4 linked regions of the Lytechinus pictus genome follow. The protein of the gene in region 4 binds, or shares a complex with, the protein of the main gene of each other region. Links are inferred from orthologs where the notes say so. Each region holds a gene or a part of one and is shown on either strand. Other genes may lie near its edges.

The links.
Region 1: GATOR2 complex protein MIOS-like (region 4) and protein SEC13 homolog share a complex: the UniProt entries of both Drosophila melanogaster proteins name them as parts of the GATOR complex. The link is inferred for Lytechinus pictus from reciprocal best matches to the Drosophila melanogaster genes mio and Sec13.
Region 2: GATOR2 complex protein MIOS-like (region 4) and GATOR1 complex protein NPRL3-like share a complex: the UniProt entries of both Drosophila melanogaster proteins name them as parts of the GATOR complex. The link is inferred for Lytechinus pictus from reciprocal best matches to the Drosophila melanogaster genes mio and Nprl3.
Region 3: GATOR2 complex protein MIOS-like (region 4) and nucleoporin SEH1-like share a complex: the UniProt entries of both Drosophila melanogaster proteins name them as parts of the GATOR complex. The link is inferred for Lytechinus pictus from reciprocal best matches to the Drosophila melanogaster genes mio and Nup44A.

The regions. Positions count from the first base shown.
Region 1 is NC_087247.1:59,274,077-59,281,084, reverse strand, and holds the start of protein SEC13 homolog, read left to right. Parts: upstream 1-3,991; 5' UTR 3,992-4,273; coding exon 4,274-4,276; intron 4,277-6,318; coding exon 6,319-6,363; intron 6,364-7,008. UniProt on the Drosophila melanogaster protein: Functions as a component of the nuclear pore complex (NPC) and the COPII coat. At the endoplasmic reticulum, SEC13 is involved in the biogenesis of COPII-coated vesicles.
Region 2 is NC_087254.1:36,127,191-36,134,449, reverse strand, and holds the start of GATOR1 complex protein NPRL3-like, read right to left. Parts: upstream 3,025-7,259; 5' UTR 2,555-3,024; coding exon 2,437-2,554; exon of another isoform or gene 2,384-2,436; intron 910-2,383; coding exon 810-909; intron 1-809. UniProt on the Drosophila melanogaster protein: An essential component of the GATOR subcomplex GATOR1 which functions as an inhibitor of the amino acid-sensing branch of the TORC1 signaling pathway.
Region 3 is NC_087246.1:48,199,283-48,206,726, forward strand, and holds the start of nucleoporin SEH1-like, read right to left. Parts: upstream 3,024-7,444; 5' UTR 2,941-3,023; coding exon 2,830-2,940; intron 1-2,829. UniProt on the Drosophila melanogaster protein: Probable component of the nuclear pore complex (NPC). Involved in maintaining the localization of another nucleoporin Mgtor to the nuclear envelope of early meiotic female germline cells.
Region 4 is NC_087257.1:8,783,261-8,790,859, reverse strand, and holds the start of GATOR2 complex protein MIOS-like, read right to left. Parts: upstream 3,014-7,599; 5' UTR 2,927-3,013; intron 1,257-2,926; 5' UTR 1,213-1,256; coding exon 1,086-1,212; intron 1-1,085. UniProt on the Drosophila melanogaster protein: An essential component of the GATOR subcomplex GATOR2 which functions as an activator of the amino acid-sensing branch of the mTORC1 signaling pathway.

The sequences.
Region 1 (7,008 bases), on a different chromosome or scaffold from region 4:
TCTCATTTGAGTTGTGCATATCACTGTTTTGTGAAAAATAAGCAAAACTTTAAAGTGTCATAACTTTCTTATTTTACATCCGATTTTGATGAAATTTTCTGCGTTTTGCTAGTTTGATTTTTCCCTATTTATTCAAATCAACTTTTTCCTGGGGTGGACTTGACCTTTAAAGCTGAAAAAAAGAAAGTGATAACAATTTACATGTTTGCTTCATTTCACCAGGGAGTTGTGATGTATTTCACAACAATTATTTGAACATCCTGGTCGGCAGTGGCGTAACTACGGGAGGGGGGGGGGGGCACGTGCCCCCCAATCGGCTGACACCCCCCCCCCCCCCAACAAAAAAAAAAAAAAACAGGGAAAAGGAGAAAAAGAGGGAGAAAGGAAGAGAAACGTACTGGGAAAGAAGAAATTATTGATGTTTTGTTAAATTATAATTATGTTATGTTATATTACATAAGAAATATCTTTTTCATAACTTTATGAAACATTAACTCAGGGCCTATGGCTATGTCTTCATTGTTCCTGGTGCTCGCATTGTCTGTTTAAGAATATATTTAATCCTGTTGTACTAAAACCTCCCGTTTTCAAGTCAATATACACCAAATATATTTTTTCGCACTTCGAGATATTGTTTTATGCACAATAGTATGCTTCTTTTTCATGACTACTTAAAGCGATTGCCTAATTTTAAGGTCTTGATATAAAACATTTCCTGTCCGTGCTTACGTTCGCAATTAGTGGATTGGTGAGGTATAACTGCCCTCCATGAGTTCCTATAGAATCAGTACTTAAAATATCCCTTTTTCTGATCTGAATGTAAAAAAATTTCAGCTCGCTCTTCGTATAATGATTACACAAATTTGATTATAATGTCCATTTTTAGGTCTGAATATCCAAAGTTTTCAGTTCGGGCTTCGCGCTCGCAATATTTGATTAGTGAGATGCGTATAATGATGATTACAATTACTACAAGCATGACAAGTGCTTAATGCGTTTAGATGCAATACTAAAAAAATCAGCAAGAGCTTGGCAATCGCATTAGATGACTATGGTGAGATATGTATACTCTTAATGGATTCCTAAAATATAGTCCTTAAAATCTCCGTGTCTGAGGTCAATATATACAAAAATTTCAGCTCGCGCTTCGCGCTCGCATTGTTTAGTGAGACAGGTACGTATAATGATTACAAAAATTTTTGAGTCCCTTTTTAGGTCTGAATATCCAACATTTTCAGCTCGCGCTTCGCGCTCGCATTATTTGATCAGTTAGATACATATACGAAGCGCGCTCACTAAGTGGCTCAGAATTTTTGCTGGTGCCCCCCCCCCCCCCCCCCCCCCATGCCGTGACCCACAGTACGCCACTGCTGGTCGGTATGCAAATGAGGGGACTGACGACATCATTTTTTTTTGGTATTTTATATATTGAATATTGATGTTTCAAATTTCTCCTCATCGTCACGTGAAGCAAAATTTTCTCTTCTAAACATGTGGCATTGCCATGGTACTAACATTTAATATGTTCAGTCAAGTTGGTCTTTTATGTCAAATCTGTAAACATTGAAATATCGTTAAAACTACTTTTTAATGAAAGAAGAAGAAAGAAAAAGTATAAAATGAGGGACATCATTGTCTTTCTCATTTTACATGCCATTTTAAGTTGTGAATATAAAGTCTTCACTGTTTTTTTTTAAGTATTTGAATTTAATTTTACTATTTATAACCTGCACACAGTTTTCTGTTGCCAACAGCCCTGGTTGTAATGACAGATTGGAATTAAAGATGTAATAATATTTAACTAGAAAAAAGAAAAGTGATTAAGGAGTAATGAGATAGAATCAAATAAATGTGGAGAATAGGGAAGAAAAATGAGAGCCAAAGAGAAATGGACTTCGTGCAAATTATATGAAATCTTAAAGGTCAAGTCCACCCTATAATTTTTTTATTTGAATAAATAGAGGAAAATCAAACTAGCTAGGCTGAAAATTTCATCAAAATCGGACGTAAAATAAGAAATGTATGATATTTTAAAGTTTCGCTTATTTTTCACAAAACAGTGATGTGACATGCACACCTGGGATGCAAACGAGACAGTTTATAACCCTAACTCACTATTTCATTTGTTTGTTATTGTTTAAATTGTGCAATAAGGACCAAGTTAACTGAACCATAGTAATAAAAAAGCTGATTCAACATGTTCAGGGAGGAATTGGCCGTTGTTTCATTTGACATGAGGAGAAAATTAGAATATTTCACATAATCAAATGCAAAAAAAGTGGATAGTCTCCTCATTTGCAAATCGGACCAGGATGTGGAAAACTGTATGTGAAATTAACAGAAACTTTAAAATGTGATTAAACTTTCTTATTTAACATTCGATTTTGAGGACATTTTCAGTGTTATAAAATGTTGGATTTCCTTTTTTTATTCAAATCAACTTCTTTGTTGGGTGAACTTGTCCTTGACCTATCATTCTGAGTTCTATGAATTTGTATTCTGTACCATTGTTTGTGTTTGATATGGTTTGAAATAAATACTATACTATACTACTACTATACTGATCCTTAGTTATATTCATAATCTATTATAGGGCTAATAAAATACACGAAGGAAGTTCCAACCTATATAAAGTGAAAAAATGACCCAACAGAAAGATATAAAGAGACTGTTTGCATGGTATTGGAACAAACTATAATGGGCCAATACAAGAAATAGACATTTCTATAGCTTACGTGTACTTCCCTGCTTTGTTCTAGCAGGGATATGTGACCATTTCCTATGGTATTATACCAAGGAGATATAGAGTGATATCTCCTTGATTATACAGTAGGCCCTGTAATGACCATTTCATTTCTGCATTTGGATGTAGACCACAAGATCCCTGGAGGGATTTCTGGGCATGGGACATTGTTTATGTTGGATTAACTACTGGCTAAATCTTATCTGAGTTATCAATTATCTTCTCACTGGCCACTGGTAGCAGTTCCCCTGGGAGGCTGATTGACAATGTTTACTAGCCAATGGAAAGTGACTCTGAAAGGAGGAGGTGGGGCTTGATTTGGAGCGTGAGAATTGATTTTTGGAAGATTATGCAGACCCTGTATTGGAACAGCAAGTTTTGTATGTGCTAGTCTTTGCGTGGAGGCACACTTATTGATCAAAGTTCCAATCAGGGTCTGTGCCTGCAGACTAGGTATGGGAGGGGGCGCTTCCTTCTTTGCCTGTCTCTCTTTTAGTCAATGCAAATCATTTTTTTTTCTTTCTTATTACTTCTTGATTACATAATTATATTCTCTCTCTCTGTCTGTCTTACGGTTCAAAAGTAATATAACCCAAGAAAAAATATCTTAGGCTTACTGAGATAATTAGAATTGTAACTTATATCTATAAAAAAATATATATAAAAAAAAAAAAAAGGAAGAAGGAGACTGAATCACAAATCTAGTATTAATGCAGATAAGTGATGCTACACTGCAGGGGCCGCGGAAGCGGGGGGGGGGGGGGGCCACTTTTTTCTAAGACCGTGTACAAAAACGTAAAAATGACCATAGGATTGTGATTTTTGTATGGTCGGCCCCCCCCCCCCCCCCCCACTTTGAAAACCGTTCTGTGGCCCCTGCACTGAGAATCTAACTTGTTGAAATCTCTATGTACCTTGGTCACATTTGTTCTACGGCGGCCGTACGGCGAGTCGAAAACAGTCGTTGTATTCATTTTTATTAAACCACCTATATGTAGCTCGTACCAAAAAAAATGTTAAAACGGCTGTTTTCGACTCGCGCCGTACGGCCGCCGTGGAACAAATGTGACCAAGGTATTATTCATCATTTTTTTTGCATGTACTAGAATGTTGGTGTGTTGATCCTTATGATTTGATTCATATGATTAGAATAAATATAGAAAGAAATATAATGTATATAAATTTAAAATAAAAAGATAAATGAAAGAAAAAAAAATTAAGAAAATGCTTATCCTACTTGACATACAGTGTGTGGCAAAATAGTAAATCATGACTTATTGCCAAATAAAAACAAGTAATCATATGGAATGGAATGGATGGAACACTGCACTGATCTGAATACAAGCAAGCAGGATCAGTGAAAACCGGTACCACCAACCTTACCTATCACCAACCCGGCCCTACTCGGTTCCGGGTACGGTATACGGTCCCATTTTGCATGCAAATTGCCTATTTGATAGAAGAAGTCAAGCAGCTTTCCGCCACGTCGCTTTAGCTTTTCATGAATTAATTGTAAAAGTTCTGGGCAAGATGGTAAGAAAATTATTTATTCATATATTACATTTTAAATTGATGCATTTCAGTTCTAATGAAATACTTTGATATCAAGATTTTCAACGTTTTAAACCCAAAATAGCTCTTTCAATGAATAATTGTTCTGTGCTCAGTCCCGTATGTGTCAAAAGGTGTGGTGTTTTATCCTATGAAAGGGGGGGGGGGGGGCATGTCTGCGCCACTCATCATACGAACTAGACAGCTGGCAGCAATCTGTTTCGAGTATTTTTTTAACATTTTAATATTTTTAAAAACTTCCTTGTACACAGACGGCTCGCTATCGTGCAGCCACCATTATCAAAATCCCCCTGACGCGGCTCATCGATTTTTGTCTTTAAGTTTAGGCCTAGGCCTAGGCCTATTTCAAAAAAAAATTATAGCCTTTTATAGGGGGCCTAAAACGAAATGTACCAAAATAAAGATTATTATTTCGTTTCGGCCTGAAATGCACCAAAACGGAGAAAAATAACTTAAAAGGGGAAAAAACAGTGACTTACTTCGGCTGTTGCGCAACTTCACTTTCCTGTTTTATCTGAACTTATTTACACATAGGCCTATGGCCATTGTCCCTGTACAGATTGAGCTAGAACTTTGGTCTCTGTATTTGGTGAGTGGAGCCAACAGAGTTCAGCGGAACAACCAACATAACATTTCATCCAGTGCTCAACTCGCACCAATTGCTTAGTTTAAGAACTCATATATTCCACGCACCATCAAGGACTGGAATTCTCTACCCCCCGACATCCAATCAATCTCACTCTCAGTCTCCGATAACTTCAGAACACAGGCAACTATATACTTTCGCAACAAAGACTTAAGCAACAAGGACTAATAAGAAATGAAGTGTGCACTCCCAATTCCTCCTCGGGTGGTTCCTAATAGTAATAAGGATGTTGAGGAGTATAATCAAGAAGAAGACCGAAGCTTTAGTTTTGGTCTACACACGAACAAGGTTATATAGCCAATATAACCTTGTTCTCGGCAGCATACTGTAGCATGGACAAAAAAATCAACTATTTTCCTCCCCATCCCTCGCCCCAAGTATCACAACCTGATCGAACTAGATCTGTGAATACTTCTAAGATTAGTCACTAAGTCAGTGATAAAAATTAGGCCTGGGATGAATGTCATTTTTACCATTCGATTATTTCCTGAAAAAACAATCAAATTATTTGATTGTTCATCGGAAATCACATCTTTTAAGTCACAATAGTTCACCTACTTTATGGTGACCTCCCGAATGAAGAAATCTCCATCAAAGTCACATGTTTATCATAAATGAAAGTAGGCCCTCTTCCCCCTTCTCCATGATTTTCAAAAGAAACTACATGAAATGAGATTAAATCTTTCAGTTTATTGTTCCAATGAAAATCTTTCCTAAATCAATGCTGGTACCCTGGTATTAGGTTGCATTGTTTTGAAACATGAAATGAATTCTCTGGCTCCCTCTCCCCTATCTTTCTCTCTCTCCCTCACACACACACAGATGGGGAGGGGTCAATTTATTTCTGAAGTCATGACCTTTCCTGATAAGGGAACGCATGTGGCTTCTTTGTTTCCCAAAAAGTTTCATTGGCTAATAGAAGGTCCAATCAGCTCAAGTGAGCTGGTTGTGTGTTTACTTTCTGTTTTGAGCACGCAGACAATGACTTGTATTGTGTATCGAGGGCAAGGCCGGGTTGGATTAACATTTTCGGAGCTCTTTCAGGTCGGAGTTTAACTGTGAATGTGATACAATCATTGATCAGTTTTGACAAATTACCTTGGTAACATCATTTTTAAACCTGTATCAAGTATTCAAAAACCATTGTCATCATAGTTATCCTGTCATTTTTTTATTATTACTTGGGTATTTGAGTTATCCCAACGTCATAATCGGGATCTGCCAAACATTCGGTCAGTGTAAAATTTGCTAATCGATTGGCGATCGGTGGCAAGCCATTCGATCAATCGATGTTTACTCCCAGGCCTAATAAAAATTAAATTAGATAAATTTTCACAATTTTTTGTTTCTCCTTCAGGTTTCTGTAATCAGTACTGTGGATACAGCTCATGAAGATATGATTGTAAGTCATTTTATATACCTTTAGTTTAAATTTTTTTGGATAATAGTATATTTGCACTCATGTATTTGCTTTGTAACTTGATCTTTATTGAAATGCCAAATAAGATAATAATGATAATAAGAAGAAAAGAATAAACATTAGATTAAGTAAGAGACCTGGGGCCTGTTTCTCAATACCGGGACAAGTTAGTTGTATTTCTTTCCAACAACCACAGAGTTAGCGCCAATATACAATGTACTAACACGTTTCACAAAAGGCTTATTGCGTGTATTACTAGAATCTCTCGATATCGATTCTATTGGCAGAAAGAGCTAATGAGACGTAGCCTTATGCCCAGTTGACACATGCAGGTATTGTGGTGCCCGCAATTCCCTGCATTGATGCGTGCCAGTGCGGGACACTTTATGGCACGACTTGGATATATCAGTTCACGCATTGTCCTGACACGTTCGTAACATGTTTGCGCGTTGTTATTATTATTATTTTGTTTTGGCGTCACCTGTGCCTGGGAGGCGAAAAGCGAACTGAATCACTATGACCCGCAGGTCTCTCCTCCCAATATAACTGATTGGGGGGGATGTATATAGAATGCGTATAGTTCGCGCATAGCTCACGCAGTGTTCGCGTACTGTCCCGACCATGTCC
Region 2 (7,259 bases), on a different chromosome or scaffold from region 4:
ACAGATTAACTTCTTAGCTGATTTCAGCTTATTTTCATTAGGGATCTCTCACAATCTGGATAAAGAACACTCTTGAAAAAATGCACATACATTTGTTTAAGATTGATTTATGTGGGAGGCTCTACATCAGTGAGGAGCAAGGAGGCAAATACCCTCTTGATACTTGATGTAGTAATCCCTTTGGCAGCTCATACAGAAGATATACTGGGATGATGAATAAAGTGAGCCACTGGAAGGAGTGTCATGAAGTGCAGAAATGGTGATGAACAGACATAGCAATTTTGTATATGTACAGTAAAACATGCTATGCTGAGTGCAAGTAAAAACCAAGCTTTTGACTTTAAATCATATGGGATCCAATAGGGGGCTGCATCATTCTGATGGCAGGGAGAGCAGCCTCCTTGAAACTGGACATTCCTTTGGTGTTGATAGCTGAGCTGGGTAGGTTGTTCCAGTTCCTTATCGTTCTTGGATAGAATAATGATTTTAAAGTTATAAAAATAAATGAAGAAAGAATAATATGGGGTGGGGAGATGGCTCAATCATACACTTAGCAAGCACTAATTGATGTGTTAACGTCGTGGTAGTATCTTGCACCTTATCACCCCCCCCCCCTCCTGCCCAATTTAATAGCTGTGTAAATACATAAGAAAACACACAATTTGTCCCTTAAATGTAAAAATGCACTGTTGAGCTCTAAAATGCCGCCCAAAATTTGCCATTGAATGTGATAAAAATGTACTGTATGAGCATAAGTAAGAAAATAAGCCCCCACCTGAAACAAACCAAAATAGAATACAAAAACCTACCCAGATATAATGCACGACTGTCTTGTAGATGACTGATTAGTTGAGATAGTATACGGATCATCCTCGGGGGTCTGAAGTGCAAATGGATTATCTGACAGATCTGGGGGGTGTATAAACAAATCAAGCATTTATCCACAAGATCAAGAGAAAACAAGCTAAAAACTGTCCAACGTTGTCAACTTTATTTCAACATGCTTGGACACAGGGGTTAATAAACTTCTAAAATATCTGACCATGAGGACTTGGCATAATGGAATTTTAGGAATGTCAGCTGGCGCTGGCAGCAGCCTGGACACAACCTCCCTGGTGATGTGACAGGGTGCTTGCACTTAAAAGGGAAGTTCGCCCTGAAGAAAAACATGTTGTAAAAATACCAGAAAAAAATATTGGTGAAGGTTTGAGGAAAATCCATCAAAGATTAAGAAGATAGATAGATACATTGTGTAAGATTTAGAAGATAGATAATATTTAATTCACTCTATCAACCCCCTCTCAGGGTATGAGTGTACACCATATAAAGTTTATAAACAACATAAAAAATATATATATATAACAAATGTATGCGTACATAAAGTATGCAATCAGTTATAACCTCATATCAATAACAAATTATACGATCTACTTACACATGAAAACAAAATGGTCGGTTCACTAGCGTACCACTTCCAGTTAAAAAAATTATAATTTTTTTCTTTTGAACTTTCTTTCTTTCTTTCCTTCCTTCCTTTCTTTCTTTCTTTCCTTCCTTCCTTTCTTTCTTTCTTTCTTTCAAAGATTTCGATACATGTAGCTTATTTCAAGTTTCCTCACATTCGTTTCTCATTATTTGGGGGATGGGGCCGGGGTTCAACATTTGATAACGTCCAAATTTATTGATCATTTTTCGAAACCCATTTGTTGAGGATTCTTTGTGGCTGTAAAAAGCAAGCACAGTGCAACACACAATGCATACTGATCATATAGATATAGGCTTGCATTATGAATTTCATGAATTTTCAAGGATTTTTGCTTGCATGCAGCAATGTTAATTAGTTAACACACAAGATGAGTATACCTATACTTTGTGCATGCTTGCGACATACAGCTGAGCAAGGTCCTGTTATGTCTCTGTATTTTGCGGCACACAAACAAACAATGACCTACTTTGGGCTTACCTTTAGAATCCAATGTCATGAGCTGAAGTATGACTATGATGATGCCTCGTTCTAATACTAGTGTGTAATCCATGCTCTCATAATCCATTATGACATTGGATTGTAAAGTTACTCCGCAACTTACTTTTTCAGAAATTATGGAATTTCTGTACCGTATTAGTAATTATTACTATTAAACTTTCATTCAGTTTCAAGTAATTTTCATTTTAGGTTTCTTTTTTTTAGTTTTAGTCTTTCTTTCTTCCTTCCTTTCCTTTCCTTCCTTCCTTTCTTTCTTTATTCATTTATTTCCTTCCTTCCTTTCTTTCTTTCATTCTAAGTTTCTTTCTTTCTCCTTCCTTCATTATTTTCTCCCCCCCCCCCCCCCCCTCCCCGTCTTTTATTTAACCGATCGAGTAAGTAACCGACCCAGGTTTCAACGAGTGGGACTGAGCTCAGTGAGATGGGAGCTTGGTTATTTATTTTTCACTTACCTCGTTTAACTAATTCTTGCTGTTTTTCTGCTTGAAATGGATATCTAAATAACAACCGGTAACCTTTTGATCCGGATGATACCAATATTATACTTAAAGGAGTGACTTTTGATGACATTTTTCAGTTGTGTGCTTTTCTCACAGTTTTGATCCAAACTGTCTCGCGTTGAATTTCGATAATGTTCGGAAGATCGAGGATCTAGAAACACATGATGCAGCAGGCGGTACAAATGTGGCAGCATACGAAGCGAGAAAAACAGGTCGGATCTTACGAGTCACACAAATTTTTGACGAGGTACAATACCGTAGCCGTAGGGTAGGATATTTCTTCTGGCTTGCACATCATTCTTCATTTTTTCATAAGTATTTCATGAAAATGTTTTTGTCAGTTACAAAACATTTCATTAATATTCTTGATTCACACAAATACTAATATAGTCCCAAATGTGTGTTTTTGTGTTGGAAAAGAACAAGGCCCGGGCGCGAAATTATTTTTCCCACCGAGTTCTGGACCAGCCACGTACGTGCAGTCGCCGTTGGCCTAACGTCAGCTTAATGGACGACGCCATATTGCCAGATTTGGCCCGCGCCCTCACCGGCTAACGCTCGGCTAAAGCTCGAACGCCATTCACCCATACACTAATTCCCCTTGATTACCGTTCTTAAAAACCACTGTCAAATCTTTTCCAGCATTTTTATGAATTAGCGATTGATGTTTTTCCGTTTATCAAATATCCTTCATTATACACATATTTTTTTCATATTTATAACATTTTTATTTTAATCACAATTTCAGTCCAAACGCGGGTCAGTTTTTGTTAACCCACGTTGTTTGTGCATGCCCACGTATAGCCTTACGCGTATTGAAAGGAATGATGTTGGGTGGAAAAACAGAATTGTTATTGTTTGTTCCTTGTTTGTTGGGGATGAAACTATGATGGCGACCAGTCACGTTTGACTGTACCGCCAAATAGTTAAGATTAATTAATTAAGGTCAAGGTGAGATAAGAGAAATGAGCAAGGGGCATTGTGGTGGGGGGGGGGGGGGAAGGGAGAGAGAGAGAGAGAGGGGGGGGGGGTTACGAGGGCCGAGTGGGGATACAGTTTCATCGTGCAGTACAGGGCGTCGATGAACACTTTTATTTTTTTCTCCAAAATATGGAAAGTGACAGAATAATCAGAAAAAGGTTGATTGGTTCTGATTTTGAAAAAAAAACAGAATTTATCAAGATTGCTGTTATTCTTCATGGTTGTAGAATTTAATTTAGTTTCTCTGATAAGTATAGAAAACAACTCAAATTTTGATTAATCGTATTTCATTTATTTCACTCTTTTCTTTCGCCTCGTTTTTTTTTCTTCCAAAAAATCAGGGAGCTGAAAAATATGAGAGCTAGAACCTAAAGATATGGGGTAGCTATGACGTTGGAGAGGGCGCAGCCTCATGCACTTGCAGATCCAGATCAATTTTCACAGGGGACACTTAGAGTAGCCCCTATTTCTTTAATATTATTTTTACAAGCAAAAAAAAGTCAATGAAGACATCAGGCCACCGACAGCTGCCTCGTCAAAGGGGGGGGGGGCGGTCGATTATTTTGAGTATTTTTTTTTTCATTTTGTCCTCAATAGGGGGGGGGGGTTCAATTAATTCTATATACACTTCTATTGTCTTTATATATGGGGGGGGTCTGCTACTGAGCATGTTTTTAAAAGGGCTTAATAAGGGGCTTAATATAACAGAAATTGTACGATTTAACACAATAAAATGTATCATCGAGGTAAATACTAAATTAATACATAATTAATAATTGTTTTAATTGAAAATGAAAATAATAAAGGCACCCATATATCTAGACCAAAAGCTTCGGTCTCTGTTATGTTGGTTGTTCCGCTGAACTACGTTGGCTCCACTCACCAAATACATGTGTACGAGGAGAAATTAAAAAATAAAAAATGTTTAAAAACTCCTCGAAACAGACGGCTGCCAGCTGTCTATTGTACGAGGAGAAATTAAAAATTAAAAATGGTTAAAAAACTCCTCGAAACAGACGGCTGCCAGCTGTCTACCGTCCATAGATCTTAACATCTCATAAATACAGGCCTAAACCTGTATTGGAAGTTGAACAGGCATAAAGTATAAATGTTTAGCTATAGCTGATGCTTTGATCCCGCAACCAAATAATGTTATATCAGTCAGTGGCGTAAGCCGTAACAAGCGAAAATAATTGAGGGTAAAACGATATGGCGTATCAGGCAAAATTTATAAAATATATAGTTGCAAGCAAGCGACATAAGCATAATTTTGACTCTTGGTTACAAAAATCCAATTGAACGATCTCGCAAGATTCTCTTACCTTTTCCTTTTTTTTTCTTGTTCGTGAATTGGGGGCATGCAAGACCCCCCCCCCATACAGCACCACTCTTTGTTGTCACTGTCTAAAATTTGATTTAAACTTTGAGAATTTGAATTTCTTATCTAAGTAATCCAAAGGGATAAGACAAAAATATTTGCAGATTACTTATTTCAAAGTATTTTTATACCTATAACTCCCCAACTCTGCTCTAGCTGCACTGCACGTTGCCTAACGGCCTTCCACCAAAGGGCCAGGCCGACTCACCCCGTGAGCAAGTGACCGCGTTCGCGTAAGTTCACCCGAAGCCATGACTAAATTCTGACCATAAACATCACCTAACTAATCACTCTTTGACAATATTTCAAAGTATCTTTTATTAGAGTCGATCCTTTGGGCCATTAAACGATAATATTTCCAATGTTATCATGACAAACAATTTTAATGAGATAGTGGCATTGTAGAAAAAACTAATTTATAAGCACGAAATGGCACCAGATAAATCATCAAACATACAGCGCAGCGTTCGGGACTGGTGAGTGGTACGGCTCGCTTGGAGTTTTCGCCCCGACGAATTCGGCGAAAACGCTACCATTGCGCCGTGCGAATGTTCAATCTGCGGCTCTCAATCAGAGACTTGAATGTCTCTTTTTGCATTATCAAAAATGTATCATAGACTTTGTTTGATTTGTTTACAAGTAAGTTGCATATCCGTCGTGATAATTAGGAAAATCCATGATGTCTTCTTCTAATTCTGTAAAAATTACCTCTTCAAAGTGCCTGTGTCAGAAAATTTCCGGAAATCGTAAAAACTTGCCTAAAATGTCTCTTTTTGAAAGTTCATCCATGGTCTGGAAAAAAATGTTATAATTTATGTAGACGTATACCGTAAACAAATACATCCTCGATCACTGAAATGAAGTGTTTGCTAAGCTTTTTTATCTCAGACCGCGTTACCATGGCAACTTGGGAAAACCTTTATTTTTTAGTAATAAAATTCTGGTTTTAAGGGTCATTTTAGAGACATAAAACTAACCATATTTTGAAGTATTGGGTTTAAATTTCACATAACACTGAATTATCTATGTTTTTACTTTCGTATATGAATATTCATATTTCTTATAGAATCTTAGTTTTTGATTGGTCAATGTTTCAGTCATGGATAATAACTGAGCGTTAAAAAATCTGAAAATGCGCATTTTATCGGCAACCAACAAGCAAGATGGCGGAACACATTAAGTTGGCGCTATGCACGTACGTGCAGCATATGAATATTCATGACTTGCGTCTTCGGATTGAGAGTACGCATGCGCAGTGGACTTGGCCTCGACCGTGCCGATCGTAAGCATTCACGTTGCTCAGAATGAATTTTCCTTGTATTATTTTCTTTGGCCAACAAGAATGTTTTAAGTCTTAATGATATTCTGAAAAGATTTGGTAAACTTGAACACAGTCTCCAATTTTGTCATATCCAAATGGGTTATGTCAATGGCATGATGAGCCAGAAACTATGAGGGGCCAAGCATGGCATATATAGAGCAAAATTTCTGTCAAAAAAAAAGAAGAAAGCGATTGAAGCGAGCGAGTGAACAAAATTTGTCCCCCTCTTTCTATAAGAAAAGCTAATTTTGCAATAGATTGTTTAAAAAATAATATCACATTTACTCCATCTTTTCCTTTCCCTCCCCCCCCCCCCCCCCCTTGTCTAAGTTTATTCTTGGTGGTGGGACTTCTTCTTCTCTCTATCTCTCTTCTAAATTTTATATTGGTTTTGGGTCAGATTGACAAAACAAAGGGGAAAAAGTTTTTACTTCTTTTTTATCATATATCGTTCAACATTGAATCTTATTTCTCTACAGTTTCAAGGAAATAAACAACGTATTTTTTTTTGTGTCAATATGGTTTCAAGAAATAATAATTAACAAAAAATAATTTAAAAATTAATAATTATTAATATTATCGATAAGTATTAATAATTAATGATTAATTAACTGTTTAATAAAAGTGGTTGTAAGCAGAAAAAAATATGAAAACGACAAGAGTCCTAAAAATGACTCATTTTCAGTTTAAGCATTTGAAAATTTTAGCTTGCGCTTTGTGCTCTCTTGCCCCCCCCCCCAAAAAAAAAAAATCCCCATAAGATTTTTTTGTCCAAATGAAAGAAATACCTTTTTTAATAATAAAACATAATATATTTTAGGTTCGAAAATCACAGATTTTGAATCGTGCTTGCATCAATTATTGTTTAGTACAGTACTGCTAATGGTTACAAAAATGTATAGAATGTTGCTTTATGGTTGAAATATCACAAATATTTGGCTTGCTTCCTGCACTCGCATCAATTATTGTACTCGTTCTCTTCCCGTTCACAAAAAAATGCTTAGAATGTCCAGTTTTCAGGTTGGAATATCACAAATTTTTGAGCTCGCGCTTTGCGCTCGCATTATTTTTTATTGGTGAGTTATGTATCTTATT
Region 3 (7,444 bases), on a different chromosome or scaffold from region 4:
AAAGAAAACCCGAGTTGTGCTTTTATCAAGGCTTTCCGATTAAATTTTCGATATCCTGGCCAATCAATGCGAGCGATAAGTTCCGAACGCACGCACATCTACAAGCGCAAAGCAGCGGCACAAATGGCGATATATAGTGACTGGTACATACGTCTGTAAGGATGATGACGTCATCCAAGATGGCAACTTACGTTGACCAACAAAAGGATTGAAGATGACTATGTTTCGATCATCATTTGAAAGGAATTAGCGGTAACTGCGGTCTGAGGTACGATATTTCTGAATTTTATATATTTTTTCTTAAGTTTGAATGTACTTTCTTTTTTATAATGTGACATTTTATGTACAAAAAAATGATCCGAAAATCGGTTTCCGCCGAATGTTAGATCTAACATTACTGCTAATACGTTGGCTGTACGTACGGGCCAACAACTCTTCAGTCTATGTATGGGTGAGTGGAGCCAACGCAGTTCAGCGGAACAACCAAAATACAGAGACTGAAGCTTTTGGTCTACTCGAAACAATGCTTGTATTTCCATAATTTCATTAAATAAACGTGTTTTCACCGGTTTCCCACAGAAGCTATCGCATGGTTAACAAAAGGCTTAATGCATGGCTGATCGTCAACAAAACGGAGTGTCCAGTGAGTTTGGACGCTAGCCTGTAAAACCTCTTCATTTAATGAAATTATTGAAATTCAAGCCTTATTTCAAATAACCAGAACTTTGTTATTTCGTGACCATTTTCTGTAATTGAGGTATCAAATTAAAGAGCAGATATTGAACTTTTAAAAAATGTGGTTTTCTTTTTGAAACCCAGATACAGCCTGCCAAATGACCTTTTGGTATCCCCTCTTCAAATTGTTTTTGCTCACTCATGCGTGAATGACAAGTAAATTCAGATGAAAGAGGAGATTCTAAGCTTTACAATGGTAGGTCATTTGTCTATTGCATTTTTGATTAAGTTATGATAAATCATCGATAAATCTTGGTTACATTTTTTGTGGTACGCACTGTATATCGCCGCCGAGATGACACATGTTCGATCTATTGCAAAAAAAATCTGCAATGGCCGCCCCAGGGTTTCCCCACAGGGGGAAATTTGACACCCTTCCAAATGACTTATGAGGCAGAGGCACTCTCCAGAACATCGGACATACCGGCCGCTTGAATTGGAAATGCGTGCTGTTGATGCGCGCGAGCTCATTTTCAGAACGAAGTCACACGCAGCTGAGCGAAGACGTGAAGATGTCCGATGTTAAGTCTTTAGAGCCAAAAGAGGCCTGTTTGGTAAGTAAATAATTGTTATTTACTGATTTCTATATCAAAATTTTTCATACTAATAATTGAAATCTGCATTTGCGCAGCTGAAATAAGTTACGGTATTTTATCAACAATCAAGCGCGATTTAAATTGCCGAAATTGATCGCAGCACACAACTTTACGTGCCCACTATTTGGAAACTGCGTCCGATATTTGGCAAAAATAACAAGCTTCTGGTAGTCATGAGTCAGTAAATAACTTCCATTCACCATATTTTTTCAGTTTTTTTTTAAATTAGATCTAATATTCAAAATTTGTACTCGGGAAATATGATTTTTATTTGATTCAATGTTTGTATTTTTGTTTTGGTCCAATTATGGTCAAGTGTCCGATACTTGAGCACTTTTTTTTTTACTCTATAGTCTATTCCGTGTCAATCAAATTCATAGGGGTCTAGGTTTTTTTGTTTTATTTTTACCCCTGGGCCTGGCCTGGCCTTGGCTTGGCTTTAGCCTTTTAACGTCCATGCGCAGTGAGTCGCCATGTGCAATTTTTTTACTGTTGCGCCACTCACCTGTCACTGCCTGACTACAATGGTTCTAGAAATCTTTTGCAATGTTGAAAAGTGTCTTGTGGCATCTGATATTAATCCTCAGTAATTCCCTGAAATGCTGCAACGTTTGGTTAAAAGATCCAGCAAAAGACAAAGGAGTTTAGCGCAGTCAAAGTCAGACTTGCAAATTTGGATCCGTACGGTGGAATTTAAGCTGCCATTTTTCTCAGGCGACGATTTGAGACGCCCACACTAAGCAATCGATGTTTCCAAAACTGCCCGCTCAAGTTACCAATATTTGGTATCAAAATATAGATTATAAAAAAATGCTCACGATCATTTCATTTTGAAGGTGGGGGTGACAATTGTTATCAAAATAAGAGGGGGTGGCATCTCAACATATATCTCAACCCACGGAGAGGTTTCAACAACGCAGCTGAGTCAATGCACTTTTGTGTACGATCGGTGCGTGTGTGTGCGCATGCGCGATATATCTGTGTAGTAAATGTATTGGATTTTTCGAATCGGCGACTCAAACTATACCCGTCATTGTGTCGCCGTTCCGGAAGTGTGTAATTCATGATGTTCTTACTAAAAACTGTAGCAATTTCAGGAGAAAAGTTTATCATATATTTGAGAGGATTTGTGGATACTTTCATCTCATACAAAGATTTGGGTAAGAATTTTTTTTTGTTGTTGCAAAATTGAAGGTTGAACTTTGAAGACTGCCGATGGCGACTCACTGCGCATGGACGGACGTTAGGCTTAGGATAAGTCTAAAATAAATCAAACTTGACCACCATCAATGTGAGTGCGTTGTGTACGTAACTTTACGTACAACTGAGAATGCAAAATGCACCAGTGGGTGGGTGGTTACAGTCAACAAGTGGGCAAGTGGCTCAACTCAGGCTCAGCTCCGCTGCTCAACAATGACAATGATTATCTTCTCACGCGGATTCCAATATGTGGGACCGATCCTAAATTTTAAATTAGCATTTTGTTAAGAGACTTTACCTGTACACTCTGATCACTGGAACATGTGGCCATTCGTTGACCATAAAAGTCAAATGCAACATCATGTATCAAATCCTTGTGTTCTGCAGAAATACTCTTCGCCTTAAACATTTTGTTGATTTCCCGCAATATTTCTTTACAGCAGTTTCTGCTCCAAAGCAGATACCATCGACGATCGACGACTTGACAAAATTGGCAATAATACGATTCAGCATAAACAATGATAATCGAACAACACATTATTCAAATTTGTATTTAATTCGATGATTTCAAATTAAATATTTATGAGAAGTACAAAATAAGTTTTTTATATGTATCTATTTCATTTTTTTATCTGAATATCAGTGATTTTAATGATCCATTTCTATTAATCAGTGGCTATTGCCAATTTTCTATTTTATCACGGTGGCTCATTCAGGAGGCTCGCCTAGCACAAACTCAGCTCAGCTACCATTGCTCCATTATATTGTTGTGTCATGTTGATAATGCACCAATTATGTCGAGGATTATTCCTTGCATGTCATGAATCAATTTGATCAAGCTCCTATAAGGGGGGCTGTAACATACACTTTGCATGGGCTGTATCTTGTTTTCGAATGTGCTTGTTTGTAACTTTAAGTAAAAAAATAAATTAGCTATAATTAGTAGGCATATAATGTAGCCAATATAGGTATAATATTATATGGTTTTTTATCCGGTACTTTTAAACAGGTTGATTTATCTATTAATTGATAGAGAGAAAAATAAAACTTAATAGAAACATCATTGAAAATTTCATCGAAATCGGATTTAAAATAAAATAGTGAGCCTAATGACATTCTAAACTTTTGATTATTGATTTCACAACATAGTAGACCCTATATGCCAATAAGGGAACCGATGACGTCACCTACTCACCATTTCTTTTCAGGGTCGAATAAACGATTTTTTTTTTACTGGGGGGCTGATGTAAATTTGAAAAGCAAAAAAAAACTGTTTAACTACAAAATATAGATGTCCGACGTCGCCGCATATGGAAAACTAGCGGACAGAAGGTCCTCGCTGCACGCGCGCACCCTTATAACACGCAGAATTCCCTTGCATCATAGGCCTACCCTTTTTTCACAAACAAATGTGTATCAAGGACAAGCATTGATTCAGATAGAATTTCTGTCCCCCTGAAATGAATATTAACAACTTCTATTTACATTCGATTGGTGGGAATTATGGCACTTTATTACATTAAAATCACTCAAAACCATCCAAAGTCAGGAATATGTATTGGGATAATGGGTTTGGGGGACATTTTTATAGTACCCGGGTGGATTACATCCGTTGTCACATCGGTGGGTGATAGTATCAAGAATTTTCGTTTAGATTATAATAAAGGGCACATTGTAAGGCAAATACTCATGAAAGAATCATGGGGATTAATTAATAAGGAAATAGGACACTTTCATCATCAAATCAGAGGAGATTTTCTTTGTGATAGTGATGTCCGAAGAGCAAACCTACACTCGACGTGCATTCAGGGCTGGACAGAGCTTTTGTGTACGTCGGTGTGTTGTTCGAGTCACAGCGGTTTTCCAGCTCTTTCCATTGCAGTGCTGAACATTTTATTAGGAATATATAAATATATATACATTGTCAGTCCGAACTATAAATATAAATATATCAGATACCTTTATTTTTGCCAACAAAAATCAATTTTATTCTCTGAAAGTTGGATATGTCTCTGAATATTGTGACGGGTCCATTATGTATACGAGGGGTGCATGCATCGCGCATCCTAGCTTACCACTGCATATGTAAGTCTGAAAATTAAGTTTTGCTTATTCCTTTCACTTTATAATGATGTTTTAAATGTTCAAACAACGATAATTCATGAAATTGACACAAAATATTGCGAATCAACGCTAAAACATTATTTGTGTATACATTTTATTTATCCCTCTGTAATGCTATTTCCCCCATAAAGCCGCAAATGGAACATTCTGTACCACTAGTCACGATGATCGCGAGGTCTGCAAACGTCGTCTGCTATGTTTTTACATGTCCGGTACACTGTATGCAAGTTTTCGATATATTTTAGTCCCGAGAAATTAGAAAAGCAAACAAAAAGTTTCATTAAAAAATGTTGGTCATTTTGGTTACATTAATTTTGCCACACCTACCAGAATTCCAGGGGTGCTGCCTACACTGTTAAAAAACCTGATTTTACAGAAAAAACGAGATTTTGCAGAAAGCAATAACAGAATATTTCTGTAAATTCATAAAACAGGAATTTTTCTACAACTTAACAGAACAGGTCTGTTTAAAAAAGGGGAAAATAATGTATATAAGCCCTATATGCTTATAATATATGTATTGATTAATGCAGTATTCTATTAATGCATCAATGTCGTCGAGAGCTCTAAAACTAAAGCTTTTACTATTCAAATTTGAAATATTTCTCGAAAAACATCTAAAGGCAAAATACATTAATGCTCTTCTAGTGTGAGTATATCAAGTCAATGGTCCCCTGCAATACAGTGCCTTTGCTTTTTTTTTTCAAATTAGCTTCCCTTCTTCACCCTCCACAAAGATAAGGACTAGTAATGCCTTAATGTTTTAACTCTATATTTTTGTCAAAAACTCTCTGATTTTTTTTTCTATAAGATATTCTTTATGACAATTCAATTCATTTTTTTTAATTTCCACTTAACAATACAAATTAATTATGATACAATATTCAATACATAGGCCCCGATTAGTGGGGGATAACTTTAATACATGTGAATAAATTAGTTATGGAAAACATTCTCAAGCATTTTTTTTTCGCTCAGTCGCTACGCTCCTCGCATTAAATTATAAACATTTTTTCTTAGGGGCAGCGGCGGTTAGCTGCTTGTCAGTAGTCTCCCCATAGAGTACACGATATGCCATACGGTATTGAATAAACCAACGGTCGAAAATTTATCAAGCCACCCCCCCAAAAAAAAAAAAAAAAAAAAAAACTCACTTTTAGTCTAGAGCCACGCCTGGTTAAAAATTAGATTCTTATGTGACTCATTTCACTTCATCTATTTTACAAAAACTTTGGAAAATTGAGTATGTAGGTCTATCTGTCTTTCAAATTAATCTATCATGCGTTGTATCAGTAGTACGCTTTTTTTTTTTTTTACATTTTCTGGTCAATCTTAAATCATGAATGTTACATCCATATCTGTTGCCCACTGGCTCAAAACTAATGATCAAATAGATTTAATTCCTAATTACATAAATTGGTATATGTATATTATTGTCATAATCAAATGATCTTTTCATTTATTTGTAATTCCGTCTGAATTTTTAATATCGATGCCTAACTTTGTATCGACTCAGATCTGACGAGAATGTTTCCACGCAGAGAATAAGTGAACAGCATTTTTATTGTACCAATGCCATATAAAACAGCAGGAAAGTTCTCTGTACTTCGACCGCCCGCTCAGATCATCAGCCGAGAAGCCTGAATGAGTGTCGAATTTGGAAGGGACGAGTTATTTTATCCACACATTTCTATGGCTTGAGCTCTCTCTCATGACCGGTACCGTATACGTAGCTGAGCGCTCGCACCACCGCATACGACACAGATCGTCTCACGGGCAAACCCCCCTGAAGTGCCACGACCGACTACCGGACCGACCGTACCCGGTACCCCGGCGCGGATCCACAGATATAGAGATCGAGCCTACGTAGGTACAGCGCAAGCGGTGCGTGAAAACAAATGCTGCTGGGCTGGAATTGTTTACTGCAAGATTTTAAGTTAATTTTTCATATGTCTGGATAGGTTGTTGGCCTGTGGGTTTGATTGGAATTGTGTTAATCTTCACTGGACTGCCAAAACAGACTTCAATTCAAACTTTGTTCAAATTCAAGTTCACTAAAAATCAGAGGCAGAGCCAGAGGCCAGAGGCAGAGCAGAGTCAGACAGCTGTGAGTGTGAACAACTCACGACACAACTCACAATTACAACTACAACAAGTGCAGTGTTATCTCGACTCAGAAAAGTGCCCAGATAAATCATCTGCATCTGCTAACCTGTGTGGCGGTTTTTTTATCCTGGGCTTTGATGTTTGGTAAGCCAAAATATGACTTATGAGGCCAGTGTGCGTAGATTGATATTTCATCTTTCTCTGAGTCAGTTGGACTAAAATAATCTCTGAGTAGAATTAATATAAATATAATGTAAGTTTCGCTTTGGTTCATTCATTGCGATGGGAGGGGGTCATATGGTTAGCCAGGAGGCTCCTAGACCTAGAGAGTAAAAATCATTTACTTACGTATGCTTACTCTCCACGGAGCCAGGGATTCCGTCCCATTCATGTGCGTGTACCGCCAAAAAACCTGAAACTTTCGCTCCGAGATTTCTACTTTCCTTATTAAAAGATCTAGCCCTAAATCGTGTAAATGCCTGGGATACAACTTCATTTCTGACATTTCTACGCTATCGATATCATCTTTAAACAAGAATTCATGAAAAAAAATGAGAAAAATATTATGAAAAGACGGGGTAAACTTGCTCGATGTTTACGCCACCATCTTGTTTCTTATTGTTCTTCGCCAACGTTACGGACGCTACTTCACATTTTCATCAATGATTTTATAGTTTACAATC
Region 4 (7,599 bases):
CATTTTGGAGGCGATATCATTTCTAAATGTGCAATCTGAAAAAAGATGTCAATTTCTTTACAATACAATGATTATATTACAATTACTATTACTATGAAATAATCAAACTTCTCGTAGGTTCGACCCCCATATTTCTCTATTTTTACTTTATCTTGTGAATTGCCCAAGACATGATAATGCGAGGGCTTTCTCATATGAACTTTTCACACTGTAGAAAGGTTAATTGTACATTTGGTTTGCTTTTGTTTGACATCTGTTCAGTTCATTTAGTTCAGTCTGGTATGTGTTTCAGTCAGCTACCTATAGATACTTGTGTTCTTATACCACGGTCACATTTGCTCTACGGCCGCCGTACGGCGAGTCAAAAACAGTCGTTTCAACATTTTTTGTACCTGCTACATGATATAGACATGATAGATGGTTTGAATAACAATTAATAAAACGGCTGCTTTCGACTCGCCGTACGGCCGCCGTAGAGCTTATGTGACCGAGGTATTATTCATCACATCAGCCACTATCCTACTCCTCTAGTCATCTTCATTCCTTTCCTATTCAGATGTACTCATTCATTCCATCCTCATATCTGGTACTTTTGTTGAACATTCTTCATTACATAATCACCCTTGTCATTTACCCATCATCACGTCAGTCCTTTTTCACTGTTTATTTTTATGAATTGGGCAACTACATTTTCTTTGGGTTCTCCTATTTTCTTGAATTTCATTGGTTAGCTTTAGGTTAATGTAAATAATGTAATGTTACTGTGGATACTACTTCATGTAGGGCCAGGAAGATATAAGAAGAAAGATATTTTTGTTAATAAAGATGCAGATACAGAGATAGATACACCCAGTCACTCTCATCGATTATTTTGTTCACCGTCTTCGGCTCCGTATGTTCCTGTTATATTTGCTGTTATGTTCCTGTTGAATTTAAACGGATATCATTTCTTCCCATCGACAAATCAAACCTCCCAATACAAGTAGATGTTTATTTCACAAACCCTACAATATGAACTAGAATAAAGAGACAAATCATTTCAGGAAAGTCAGAGATCTACTGCCTTATAATGGTAATTGTCTTACCATAGTTGGCGAGTGGCTCTACGGCAAACTGATTGAACTCGACTTGGTTGGTTCCAACAGAAAGAGAAAAGAATGTCTCGGGATGCACTGGGGACCACTGAACATCCTGTGTCCACTTGCTCGTCATCTTGGTATCCAAATTCTAAGGTAGAGGATTGCAACTCGGCATTACTGTCAAAGTATAATAGAGAATGATACGAGAAGGATTGTAAATGTAATTATGAGATGTTGGGGGCAATTGACTGTCTCCTTGACTTAGATGTTTTGGGATGTACAATTTACAAAAATATAGCTACCGGTACTTTTATTGACAGGTAGGTTTATCAAGGAAGTCATACACTGTATTCAGCGCTGACTGATTCATTTCATCAGAATCATCACTGACGAACTAAATCCGACTCATGAACTGTCTTATCTATTCTTCAAAATTGGAACCAGCGTGTACATCGCTAGATGGAAAATTCTCCATAAAATTGTGCATACTAGTTCACATTTCAACGAGTAGAATTAAAGACAGTTTACAAGTGAGATGTATTTCATCAGAACCATCAATGATAGACTAAATTTCACTAGTAAATTGTCTTGCTGGCCATAAGTGGCAACAGACGGAATAAAAAAAAAAAAAATAAATAAAATTGTATTAAAAAAGAAGAAAGAAAACAGAAAGGGGATAACATTTGATCTCTCTGGCATGTCTGGCTTGAGACATTGCAGGACAGGTGCCTTTTCAACTGCTCTTCCTTATTTCAACATCTCAATCAAAATTTAGGTCTATGAATGATTGAAGTTTTAAAATAATGAAAATCTAGTAATCATCACAACCTCAGACTCGGTGTCATGTTAAAACATTATAATTTTCATAAGAATAATAAAAAATTCAAACCACCATTTTGAGGGGAATAATACACTGAGCCTACTATGGGGCTCATACTGACTGCTAGATGGCTAGCCATCTGTGTAGGATGAGAAATCAAACAAGTGAAATAAAAAATGTTCAAATACTCCTCCATCAAATCAAACGGAACAGTTGGTAATTTTGGGAACTGAAATATTCACAATTTCACGATTCTATTTTAGAGTTCTAGTCAGGCAGATTATATATTGACTGGGTATAATAAAAAAATTCACCAATTTGATCCCAAAGCTAGACTTAACTCTGTATGACTTGGCGTAGACAGCTGGCAGCCATCTGTTTCGAGTTTTTTAACATTTTAATTTTTTTTAATTTCTCCTCGTACACAGACGGCTCGCTATCGTGCAGCCACCATTAGGGGGTTTACAATGCAAAATCCCCCCGACGGGTCTTATCTATTTTTATTTCATACAAATACATAAAAAGAACTGTACCAAAATTAAGATTATTATTCCGTTTTAGCCTGAAATGCACCAAAACGGGGAAAAATAAACTTAAAAGGGGGAAAAACAGTGACTTACTTCGGCTGTCGCGCAACTTCACTTCCCGTTTTAAACTTTTATCCGAACTTAACGGCCATTGAGTCCCTGTACATGTCGCACTAGAACTTCGGTGTCTGTATTTGGTGAGTGGAGCCAATGGAGTTCAGCGGAACAACCAACATAACATAGACCGAAGCTTTTGGTCTAGACTTCGCGCAGCGCTCTCGCAATTGCATTGAATTTGTGTGATTCTGGCCCGACATCATTTACAGGGTGTGGGACTGTATATTTTGCGAATTCTTAATCACTCAAATCAGTTTCATATTTTGAGCTACAAAATGTCATAAACAATAAATAGTTTGGTACATTTGACAAATTAAAATGAAGGAATCTGGGATGCATCTAAATCTGAAAGACAATGAAACAAATAATTATTTTTTTCTTACCTCTATCCTGTAAGAAACTGGATCGCCCTTTGCAAAGTGATTTCGGTTTGTGTGATCATTGATTGCGATGGCTCCCGCTGCTAAAGGTGGCGACTAATAAGCTCATGAATACGACGTTGTACCATAGAGATGTATACTAATTACGTTATTAGTATACATCTCTATGCGTTGTACCGATCATATCCGTATGCATAATGCATGCGACCAAGCGACTAATAAAGGCAATCTCTTGATCCTCGGAGGGGTGGGCAACAGGGTACTGACCGCGGAACTGTGGGGGGGGGGGGGGGGGGAGGGGGGCTTCAGCCCCCACTCTTTTTAGTGACCATGAAAAAAAACCCGCGAAAATGACCATCTAATTGTGAAAAAAAAAAAGAAGAGTATCAATAGAGATCTCTGGTTCGATTTTAACTCTGTATTACCCTTAATCAGGGTGCTAAATAACTTTTTAGAAGCACTTGCCCAGTCGGGCAAGTACATTTTTGAATGGTTCAAATATACTTGCAAAAAATTTATTTCACTTGCCCGAAAAAAATCATTGAAAAAAAAAAGTTTCACCCCTTCAAAAGAAAGTATTGCGGCTTTATGAACCATTGACCTTTTTCTCTCTTTTGACCTGATCTAGTACCTTGTTATTGACATCGACCGTAATTTTGGCCATTCTACTGTGAGAATTCTACTTGCCCAATTTTGGCAAGTAGTTTTGGTCTTTACTTCAAAACACTTGCCCGACTCTAACTTTTACTTGCCACGGGCAAGTGCTTACGTAGCACCCTGCCTTATTTCAATTGGGAAAAGGAATTCGTCACCACATTTTAACAGTGGCGTAACAGGCGGGGGGGCATGGGGGGCAAGTTGCCCCCCCTGGCGGATTTCACCGGGAAAAGAAAAGAAAAACGGGAAAAAGAAAAAAGGAGGGAGAAAGAAAGGGGAAGGGAAAGGAAAGGGGAAAAGGAAAGGGAAAAGAAAACGAAGAAATCCCATTTTTTTAATGGAAAAGGAAGGAAAGCGGGAAAATGTAGGAAAGAAGAACATTAAGGCCTATGTAATGCAATAACACGGTGGGAAATAAATTAAAAGATAAAAAATGGCAAACAATAGCGGGAAACGAAGGTAGAATGTAATTCGCCAAAAGCTAAATTGGAAAACAAAGGAAAGGGACAAGAAAAATAAATAATAATACGACCGGGCTGCCGATGATTGAAATTAAAGAACGGGAAGAAAGACGGGCTGCATACAACATTGTGCTATCACGTTGCTAAATTTTATGCAAATGAGCTACCGGTGCTTTGCCCCAGACCCCATGCAGTAGGGGTTCTTCATTTAAAACCTTCAAATGGCTCTATAACGCCCCCCGTTCAATCACTGGCATACAGGCGCGGAGGGGGGGGGGGGGGTCTTGGTTCCACACCCAAGAGGAAATAAAAGAAATTAAAGGAGACAACATATAATGAAATGAACGGAACCAATGAAATGTGTTATTTGCTGAATATAATGAAAAAATCTATCACATAATTAGAATTTAATTTCAATAGGCAATATTTTTCCAGCTCGCTTTGCACACTGGCGACTTTTTACAAACTTTTCCAAAATTGCTATGTTTTGCCCCCCCCAAATATTTGGTGATTACGCAACTGGGTTAAATAAATGTGTTGTGTAAGAGCTATATTCTGTATATGCCCGCGATTTTGATTAAAATAGCGGCAATCTTTGAAGTTTTACATGTTTTATGATGGCTTTGATATCAAGAAGTTCCGGGGGCTCCGCCCCGGACCCCAACCGCACAGCACTGCGTATGGAAGGGTTGGGCCATGGCCCCAAAAAGTTCTACAGACAAGAAAAAAAAGGAGGAAAGAAAAGCAAAGGAAAAGTGTAGGATATGATTTTATTTACTGAATATAATGTCAAAAAATAGCTCAAAGTTAGATTCTCATGAAAAGGTGATTTTTTTCTCGCTCGCTTCGCTCGCTCTGGACTTATATAGAGCAGCTTTTTAGAACATGTGCTATACTGCGCCCCTCGTTTTTTTTTTTTTTTTACTCTTCACGCTACTGCCGCAAAGAATCCTGTTCACAGTGGCGTACAGACCACAAAAAAAGGAATCTAAAGAGAGAAGAGTGAAATATATTATTTTTTGGATATCATGTCAAAAATCTAGCACAACATTTTAATTTTTCAATTAAAAAGGTCAAAATTTTTGCTCGCTCGCTTCGCTCGCTTGAAACTTTTTTTAAAGATAAATTCAGCCCGATACGCAATATCTGGCCTTCTCAATGTGTCGCCTCATTACACCATTACGCCTGTTCATACCATGATATGACCGGGAAATTTTTGGCTCTTGCCCCCCCTGGCCACCGACCCCTGTTACGCCGCTGCACATTTAGGTCCCTAGCTAGTCCCACCTCTGGCCTGCAAGATACCGTGATAAATCATAGGGGCATCATTTTTTAAATATCATTTTGTGTCTTGGGGATCCTGCGAATTGACAGTATAAATGAAAGTGGCACATGCCTATTCTCCATTGCTTCATCCTACGATGAGGAATAAAAAAATAGGATTGATGTATTAAAAGATAGGATTGATTTGAATCATATTCGTGTGTTCATTAATTGGCAACGAAAGTTTGACGAAAGGTGTCCTGCCCGGTGTCCTGTTCAAAGCTAAATGAAATGTGTGCCATTCTCTTCACAAATCGGAGTTCGAGTTTATTTGAATGAATGGAATTATAAAAATCAAGAAGGGGCCATTCAATAATTAAAACAATGAAACATAAATCTCCTCATTCGAGCTTGACCACACATTTTACAAAACAACCCTAAATGAGTTATTTCTCAATTTTATTCGGTTTTATCCCCCCTGATGTACAATTTTACACAGGACATTTTAATAATGTCTATGCAAAACATAGGCTTATCGTAAAAAAAAACCCCACAAGGTCAACAATATCTGAAAATACATGATTTAACTATAAATAGTTTGCCACGATCTTTCTATATTTTTTTTGGTACTATAATAACAAAATATGAAATGATACATAAATGATTGCCACAACCAAGCTTGAAATTGAAAGTAGAAATGGAGAAACGAGATGCCGGGAGAGATAAATGATAGTAAAAAAGAATGTGTTTGCGTGTTATAGAGAGAGATAGAGAGAGTTTCAAGTTTCAAGTTTATTTTTATTGATTTCAAATCCAAACATAAAGGATTACAATAAAAATGAAATGCACAATTTTTTTTTACAAATTAGTATCGAACATCAAGTAATTTACAATGATAAATTAACATTTCTAACAATAAACAGAGTGACAAATTAAACGAAACCAAAACAAAAGGAGAAATATAACAAAACAAATCAAATGCAGGAAAAAAAAATCAACTATATGCTGTCAGAGAGAGTGAGAGAGAGAGAGAGGGGGGGGGGGAGAGGGCATTATAGAGAGAGGGGGGTGGTAGGGGCCGGGGAGAGGGCCGGGAGATAAACCTTTCCTGATAATATCCTAAGAATTTACAAATTGAAAAAATGAATTCCCAACCTATTCAAACCCCTCTAGCTCTCTCTGCACCTTATCCCCTCTTTTAAAATTATGGGGAAAATTGTAAGCACCAAGTGGAATACCTCAACATTAAACCACTCTCTCTATCTCTCTTCACATGCCTTACCGATTCATTTGTTACATTATTCCCTCATTTCTTTTCATTCCCTTTTCTTTCTTTTTTTCCTTCCTTTGTTTTCTTTCTTTGCCTTTTCTCTCTGTCTTTTTTCCTTTCTGTCTTCTTTCTTTCTTTCCTTCTTTCTTTCTTTCTTTCTTTCTTTCTTTCTTTCTTTCTTTCTTTCTTTCTTTCTTTCTTTCTTTCTTTCTTTCTTTCTTTCTTTCTTTCCTTCCTTCCTTCCTTCCTTCCTTCCTTCTTTCTTTCTTTCTTTCTTTCTTTCTTTCTTTCTTTCTTTCTTTCTTTCTTTCTTTCTTTCTTTCTTTCTTTCTTTCTTTCTTTCTTTCTATGATTCATTTTATTTTGTCATTCTTTCTTGTTCTTTTTCTTATTTTTTTCCTTCCTCCCTTCCTTCCTTCCTTCCTTCCACCCTTTCTACTTTTTAAAAAAACTGTTTGTTCGTTTCTTCCTTCTCGTCTTGTCCAGCTCCCCTCTTTTCATTTCTTTACTCACCGTGAATAAGCATAATTTCATACTCCTTTCACTAAAATCGGTTTAAAAAAGCTGATTTAATCAGGATAATAACAATTTATACAAACATACACTTTTATTTTAAGGCGAAACCTACTATCCACATAACGAGATCACACTCTCTCTATCTCGATAAATAATGCATACAATTTAATGTCTTAATTCATGCAAACAATTAATATTAATCATACATGCAACTATTTCAAAGCATTCAGCAATAATATGAAATAAGTAAAATCATGATATCACAAAAATATATTGGCAAAAAGATTGTTATAGTTGGGAAAATGAAATGACTTATCATGATTGTAATGATAGTATTAAGAGATCATGACATGTATGTTACAATCAAGCAATAACAGCTTTTACAAATAAAACATTTTACTTCAACTATTTCTTTAATGTCCAACATGCCCCATCAATAAGTTGATTTGATCATAGAAATAAAATTTTACAAGTATGAAATTGAACTATTAAAAAAATCGAATGTTGAA